Oryzias latipes: one gene and its partner. The protein of the gene in region 2 purifies or fractionates together with the protein of the main gene of each other region. This does not show direct contact. Links are inferred from orthologs where the notes say so. Each region holds a gene or a part of one and is shown on either strand. Other genes may lie near its edges.

Evidence for each region. Proteins that work in one complex are often made in the same cells at the same time.
Region 1: the proteins of serine/threonine-protein phosphatase 2A 55 kDa regulatory subunit B beta isoform (region 2) and ecsit purify together in Homo sapiens (affinity purification with mass spectrometry; 3 studies listed by BioGRID and IntAct, with this or other methods). This does not show direct contact. The link is inferred for Oryzias latipes from reciprocal best matches to the Homo sapiens genes PPP2R2B and ECSIT.

What each region holds. Positions count from the first base shown.
Region 1 is NC_019876.2:29,030,148-29,034,748, reverse strand, and holds the start of ecsit (evolutionarily conserved signaling intermediate in Toll pathway, mitochondrial), read left to right. Parts: upstream 1-1,631; 5' UTR 1,632-1,852; coding exon of another isoform or gene 1,853-1,877; 5' UTR 1,878-1,908; exon of another isoform or gene 1,909-2,418; intron 2,419-3,508; exon of another isoform or gene 3,509-3,516; 5' UTR 3,517-3,603; intron 3,604-3,744; 5' UTR 3,745-3,806; coding exon 3,807-3,938; intron 3,939-4,601. Other genes in the region: eml3 (echinoderm microtubule-associated protein-like 3), read right to left, coding at 1,853-1,877.
Region 2 is NC_019868.2:20,553,260-20,556,469, reverse strand, and holds the end of serine/threonine-protein phosphatase 2A 55 kDa regulatory subunit B beta isoform, read right to left. Parts: intron 2,266-3,210; coding exon 2,110-2,265; 3' UTR 667-2,109; downstream 1-666. UniProt on the Homo sapiens protein: The B regulatory subunit might modulate substrate selectivity and catalytic activity, and might also direct the localization of the catalytic enzyme to a particular subcellular compartment.

The DNA of each region.
Region 1 (4,601 bases), on a different chromosome or scaffold from region 2:
CCCGCTCTATGTTTAGATGCTGTAATTGATTCTAGTCTTGGAATGGTGATTCTGATTCTGATGATCTGCTTTTGCTGATGATGACATCTTCTTTCCTCGTCTGAGCTGGAATCAGCACACGTTAGAGCAGGGGTCCCCAAACTACGGCCCGGCCCATTTGACCCGGCCCACTGAAAAGGGTCTCAGAGAGAGACCCCCCCCCCCCTTTTTTTTTCTTTTGCATTATTATTTTTTTAGGCTGGCCACGTGATTGAGACTCATGGAAGCATGGAAAATGTCAATAAAGCTTTCCCATTAAGATTTCTCCATTGTGGGATAAATAAAGTTATCTTATTTGAATTGAAATGTGAGCCAAGCCAAAAATGTTGCTACTGCATTGAACTTAGGAAGTTGATCAGAGAGAGCAGACAGGGTTTTATAGGCGAGCCTCCTGGAAACATCCAAGACTGGATTATAAGGAAAGAACACAAAAACCTAAAGAGACTGATCACATGAGTCATTTAGGAGATTCTGCTCCACAACTGAAGTTGAACCTGAGATTGTGCACGGACAACAGAAGCTCTATTTCTGTGAACAACTACAGAGATTTATGTGGTTATTATTGATTTTCTAAAATCTAAAATACTGTTACTTTATATTTACTGACTTTTTATGTAAAGAACCCAGAGAGGATTATTTAGTAACAGATCGGCTTGTTAACATTTGGTTCTGTGTGGCTCTCAGTTTACATTTAGGCCCCCCTGCGACTGTCACACTTTCTCTGTTTCAAACTGACCACGGCCCCCATCAGAGGATGGAAACGTCTCTGAAAAGTCTGGGGACCCCTGCGTTAGAGGTAAGACTGAGATGGTTGGGACATGTCCAGAGGACAGACTGAAGGATGCTGAGTCTAGAGGAAGACCAGAGAGGAGGACTCTGGATGAAGGAAGACATGAAGGTAGCTGCTGGTAGAGGATGCAGGAGACAGACAGAGGAAGCTGATTGGCTGTGGAGACCCTGAAGGGAAACACCCAAAGGAAGAGAAGAAGATGAGTGGATTGGAGTACACACCCATCGAGGTATTTTGACGTTATTTCTGTTGTACAGTCAGTACTCTGGTCTAAACGGAGGAGGATGACAGACGTGATGGACAGAATGAGGCCTATAGGGGAAGTCCACATCCTCAGGTGGGGTCTCCGCTGCTCCTGACACCTTCAGCCAGAGTTCTGCAGGAGCTGCAGCTCATTGATGCAAAAACGGAAACAAGAAGCGCCTCCAGCTGAATCTAAGAGCCTCCAAATGAAAGCTGCGGGAATCTGAGCGCACGAGACGTTCCCAGACGTTTAAGGCATCAGCACAGAAGGGCCCCGCAGGCCCCGCAGAGGCCCCAGATGTGCAACAAAAGCCGCTTCTGTCTGTCCCGTGGAGCGGAGCCCGACCCGCTGCTGTCATCCGGGCCGTGTTTGCTGATCCGAAAGTGAAGGCATTCCTCAGAACCGCCTTCAGGTCATGAGATAAAGCGCTGCTTCCAAACCGCAAATATGACTTCAGCCCCGCACACCCACGCACGGCGCTGCGCCCGCGGCACACATCTCTGCGCCTCGCTCGACGCGGAGCTTTACGCGGCCGTTTGCAGGTGAAAAGCGGGCTGAAGACAAACCAACTACTGTCAGAACCGAACCGGAGCCAAGAAACGGAAAGAGAAAGTTGTGAACAGAACCCAAACAAATGTTCTGAAGTCCTCCACCAACCGGACATTTACAAAAAAACTCCAGGATGACTGCTCCCCGCAGGAGCAGTGGATCGGAACCAGTCAGTCAGAAGCAGCGGGGCTGGCGCTAAAGTTCGGCTGGTTCGGAGCAGAACTACTCACCCAGACTGTTGGTGGAGGAGTCCATGATCCGGTTGAGAGGCGCGGTGCGGCCAAAGGTTTGTGTTTTTATACTTTAAGGTGTGTTTTCCATGCTCACGCGGGAGTGTCTCACAAAGGCTCCAGTCAACTGCGGGCGCTGCAGCACACCGGAAACGTGAATGCCGCTCACAGCCGCGCGCTTCACGCGCCAGGAGGAACCCCGCGAGCCCTGCAACCGGATTACCGACTCCCAAACTGACAGCAGAACTCACAGGGATCCATCAGCGGGACATACCGCTGTCATGTCAGTGCTGCAGCCCCCCAGCCCCAGAAACCCCCCCGGACGCTGACAGCCAGAGCGAAAAATGTTAGTGTGGAGTTTTCAGCTCATGCAGCGCGGCGATGCCTGCTGCTGCCTCAGCGCCGCTGTTTCTGTCGCCCCCGCGTGGCGTCATCCGGAACTGCATGTTGCTGAATAAAGCATCTGCTGCTGCTGATCCCGTTTGATGTCCGCCGCTGGGAGGATCACATGACCACGTTCAGCCTCACCAGACTTAACCAAACTCCCAAAACACAATCCGACTACCCCCCTCCCCCCCATTGTCCTTCCCTGCAGCTGGGTAAACAGACAGGAGGATCAGATAATATCTGAATGCATCAGACAGATTTCACATCAAGGAGAAATGAATAAAAATCCCATTTTTGGGCTCTTCTGACAATAGTTACATCACAGTTTCTTGGTTTAAAAAACAGATTAAATTCTATGAACCATTTCTCTGGTCCAGCCTTCCAAAATAAAGGCCCAATACACAAATAAAAAGGCCGTTTGGATTTGATTTATTTCAAGCGATCAAAACCGAAAAGACAAACAAAAGACATTTATGTATAGATCAAGTATATCAAACTCAAGCTGATTTGTCACGAAGTGATTAAAAAATCTAAAAAGTAAAACATATAAAAACAGTTGCAAACATATATTCCTTTATAGTTACTCTTAATCATAAATATTTGCACTTATATAAACAATACACGACATATTAAACCTATTAAATTAAAATTTATTTTCCAAAAGAGTTTAATTATTTGAGGAGTAAGAGAAAGCTAATGAACATAAACCCACCCCTATTGTGCTTTATTTAACTTGTTTTTACATATTTATCATATTCTAGTTTGTAACTTCTGACAAAAAGACATGACAACATTCCAGAAATTAATATTACTCAAACATTTAGTGCTCAACGATTATTGCATTAATTATCGTTTGATAAAACTTCCCTCAAAACTATCAAAGCAAACCTGTTTTTTTAACGGCTTTCCACTTTTTTCTAAGTTAAATTCTTCTCTACTAAACTTTGGAGGCCTCTCCTGACTAGCTTTGGGGGGGGGCACTATTACTTTATGAATGACATTTATTTATCTTCCCTCTTGCTGAGCTTTTGTCACATTAAAATCCACCTGGTTGAACACTTGCCACCAGCCTTGACAGGAGGGTTTGGGGTTTGAATCTCTGCACCTCTCTGCCTTTTCCTGCTGCTGCTAAGACGTATTTTATGTTAGGAAGAACGGTTAGTATTTACGTAAACAAATATTTACATTTTCTCTGTCTAAAATCACCGGGCAGCACAGCGCGGAACTTTCTTCTCCGGACCTGCGGAACGATTGTTGCTGTTTTTCTCTGTTGTGAGGGGGAAGGAAAAAGGTGCCGGACAGAGGACGTTGGTTCCCCGGTAAGCTGCCGCCGTGTGGTTGTTTTGAAGGAGACTCGTTTTCAGGTGTGTTTTGAGTGTTTTCTTGTCACTTTGCTTCATTTTTTAATCTCTTCCGGGAGTCACTGATAACTAGTGGGAGACATTTTGGTGCTTGTGATCCTGGCACGCGCTCAGACCTCCCTGAGTCCGTCTTTCTTTCGATAGCCGTCGCTGTCTGTCTGTCTGTGTGGATCTACCATCTGGACGGTGGGTTTCATGGCTCCACCATGAAGGTTTCCCGCTGCCTACAGCGGCTGCAGGATCTGCGGCTGCTCCGATGCTCGTGGCAGACGGCGCGGGTCCTCCAGCCAGAACCCCACGGTCCGCGCGCCGCGCGGAGCAACCCACAGCAGCACCGGGTGAGTTCCGGCCCACCCCCTCCTGACGGGCCCTGAGTGACAGGTCCGAGATCAAAGGTCCCGTCTGTGTGAGTGACAGGTCCGAGATCAAAGGTCCCGTCTGTGTTTTACCTCCTGAAAACAGGAATCGCTTCTTTCCAGCGATTCATTTTTAATGATCAATGATTTTTCACAATACAAATATGTCAATCAAGTTACAAATGGTTCCAATCAAACGTTCATAAAAGGAAAAAAAAAGTAGAATTATTTCAAATTAAATGTTTGTTTTGCTATTTTTAAGCAAATGGATTGTATTCTATGTGAGGTTCTTGTATTTGTATTGTTACTTTTGATTACAGTGACAAAGAACTAGTGTAAAAGGTGCAAAAGACTCAGTTTAGAATAAAATTAGAATATGATGTTTGTCCACATGAATATGTTTTAACAGATTTAATTGGATCTCCCTCTGTTTTTATACAACGGTAGTGACAGGAGTTCTGCTGTCAATTCAGTTAAAGGTTTCCTCATTGAATTGAATTTTAAAATATCATCCTTAAAATTGAATAATAAAACTAATTTTTCTGAGTGTTAAATCATATTTTTCTATTATCTAGAGATTGCAATAAAATGATTTGGACTGATTTGAATAATAATTTCTTTATGTCTAGACCGTAACTCTGAAGG
Region 2 (3,210 bases):
AACTTTATTTAATTTTGGAACATCAAAGCACCGGTTTAGGTATTTTCCTGTCATCCAGACAATTCTGATATGATTTCTGCTTCAGGCATACCACATTTGTAGCCCACCTTTACTACTCTTCTTTGTCTGCTCTGCTCAGACCACTCTTGATGATGCTCCCCTATATTCTCACATAGATTTTTCTCAACAATCTTCTCAAGGCTGTGGTTATTCCTGTTAATGGTGTATCATTTTCTACCAAAATTCTTTTTTTAGTTGACTTATCTCTTAATATGCTTGGATACAGCACTCTGTGGAAAACCAGCTGGTTCAGCAACGTATCTTTGGGGTTTTCCCTCCTGAATGGTGTTGATGACTGTCCTCTAAAGATCTGTCAGGTCAGCACTCTCTCATGTGATTTCAAGGCCTACTTACTCAGACTGGAACCCTTTAACCCTTGTGCTATCCTAGGCACTTTAACATTGGGAGTGGGGTCATCTAGACCCACTAGACAGTGCGCTGAACCTTTTTTCTTCAATGATTTGTGAACCTCACTGGTGTCCATGGATTACATGAAATCTTTCCACCTTTATCCACCTTTGTCATGGTAGGGAGAACTTTTTAAGACTTACCTGTATGTTCGAATGTGACAAATGGTTACGGATGAAGTCCAAGAAGGACAGAAAGTGAGCTTGCACATCTTTATTATTTTTTTTATTCAAAGAAAGTCCAGTAAGCATAAAGACTGCATGGTATTTCATTGCATTTCAATACATTCTGAGCTATAAAAGTTTTTTTTTTCTTCTTCAATGATAGAGTCACAAAGGAGGTTGTTTAGAAGATATTACAGTTAAAGAAATCACACTTACTTATTCCCTGATTTCAGAGAGTTCAGTTAGACCTTTGACTGCCTTGCTTTGGGAGAGTCAGCTCCTGTGACCAATCTGAGACAAGCATCTGTCTCTGAACAGTTTGAGTCGAGTGTTGTGAGACAACCCGCCGCTGCACCGTATAACCCTCTAGCTGCATAGCGCCTCAAATAACCTGTAGATGTTTGTGACCGTATGCAGACTGACAGTTTAATCGGAGCCAGATCAGCCGCATGCAGAAAGGTGCTCTTCTAACACTGTAATTGCAAGTTAGGTTGAACAGTTTGATCGGATCCGTTTTGAAATTGCAGATCGTTTTCCGCACTATACAAACAAGGTAACATGAGGCTAGGATTCTGTATTTGTTTTTAGAACAACTTTGCAATATTTTCATGTCTTTTGCAAACTGGTGACATCAGACAGACTGTATTTTAGCTTTGTACAAATCACCTGAGCTCAAAAGCATTTAATCAGGTGCTATGGTAAATCTTGACTACAGTGCTTCAGGCTGCTTTTTTTGGAGCTTTTCTGTTGACATTTTCCCTTTAAAGAGAGAATAAAGAAGAAAAGAAAAAAGGAGAAAAGTCCAAACTTTTTTTTTAAACATTCACACAGTCCCCTCCTCCCCATGCCCAGTCCTACGACATCGAACCCACACACCAAAAGAAGGCACCACAGCTTCTAAACAGACTCAATGACCGAGAGAAGGACTCAACAAAACTACAGCATTAAATTAAACAATTGACACAACCTTTAAGGGTTTCGTTCACATTACCGACCACATCAGTCTCGACAAGGAGACACAAAACTGGTACAAATGAGGCCTGCACCACTGGAGAAAAAAGCGGGTCAATGATTAAAAGCCAGCAGGTTAGGCTGTCCGACTTCACCTCCATCAGAGGCTGCAGGGTTCATCACATGCGGTGAAGCATGAGCAGACTGACAAAAAACAAGGGGGCACTGTTGCTTCATGACAAAGAGTCATCGTCATGGTAGCTCGGTTTCTGTGTCTTCTGTTCAGGTTTTCCGTTTTCTGAAGGATCTAGAGGGCTGCTTCATGACAGAATTCATGCAGCAATCCTCAGGTTGCATAAATTTCCTGCATTCCGTCCTTTTATGTATCCATCTGGCAAACTGAGCTGGAACTGAAATGATGGAATGAAGGGTTTTCTTCACGTCAGTCCTTCCCATCATCCATGCTGTCGTCTTTAGTCACTGGATAGTCGGCTCAACAGGTGCTGAGCTCAGGCTCAAGGCCTTTTTAGTTCACCTTATCCTGGAAGATGTAGAGGTTGTTGGTGGCGGCTACAGCAATGATGTTCTCGTATGGGTGCCATGTTGTGTGAAGGATCTTTTTGCTAAAGTCCAGGCTGTCCACGCTGATCTCATCCTTACGGCGTTTTCCACCCACACACACCTGGATGTAACAGATGAAGTTAGAGAAGAAAAATGTTGTTTTGTGTTTTTAGAAACTGTTCCATTTTAAATAAATTGCTGAAAATAATAATAAATGACATAAGAACAAACAGCAGTGTATTCAATCAAAATTAAAAAATACATTTTGAGTCTATCTGTACACATTTAAGGGGAAATGATTAGCTTTTATCTACGAACAAAACCACTCCACATGCTGTTGTAATGAGTGCAGAGAAGCAACTAATTAACTCCAAACTGCTCCTAATATAAAAAAAAACAAAACGTAAGGAGCATCTTCAAGTTACATAATCAACATCAAAACTTGGTTTCTACAAATGAAACTTCCTTGTTGTCATTGAAAACATATGAAAACAACTGCCTCCTAACGCCTGTCCTATTAGATTTAATCCTGAACGGATCAACTGTCAGCTAATTAAGAAGTATAAAACCATGTTCTGAAAATAGTTTTGATGACAAATCACCTGGTAGTTATTATGTGGCTACAAATTTCTCATTATTATTCTTCTCATACATTTGGTTTCATGGATCCCAAACGGAGCTTATTCTAAGGAAAGCGTTTAAGTGAAATAAAAAAAAAAATAGCCACTATTATATTAGATAGTGTTGCTTTACCAAACGTGTGAGAATTCTGTGGTTAAGTTTGTTTTTTTTTTGTTTTTTTTGGTCATGTTCTGAGCTGCTCTGTCAGTCACGCCAGTTCCAGGTTCATCATGATCCACAGCTGTCTTCATTTCAGTTAATTGTCCTCTCTGCATATTTAACGGTCTGCTTTTCAGTTCATCTGCTTTGCTTTGCCTCACTTTTGTTTCTCCGTGGGGTTTTTCTTCACCATGCTTGAGTTTATTTAATAAATGTTATAGTTCCTGCCAGCATGCCTGGTCTCTTGCATATTAGGTCCTACACCACTGGTTCCTGATCAAACACT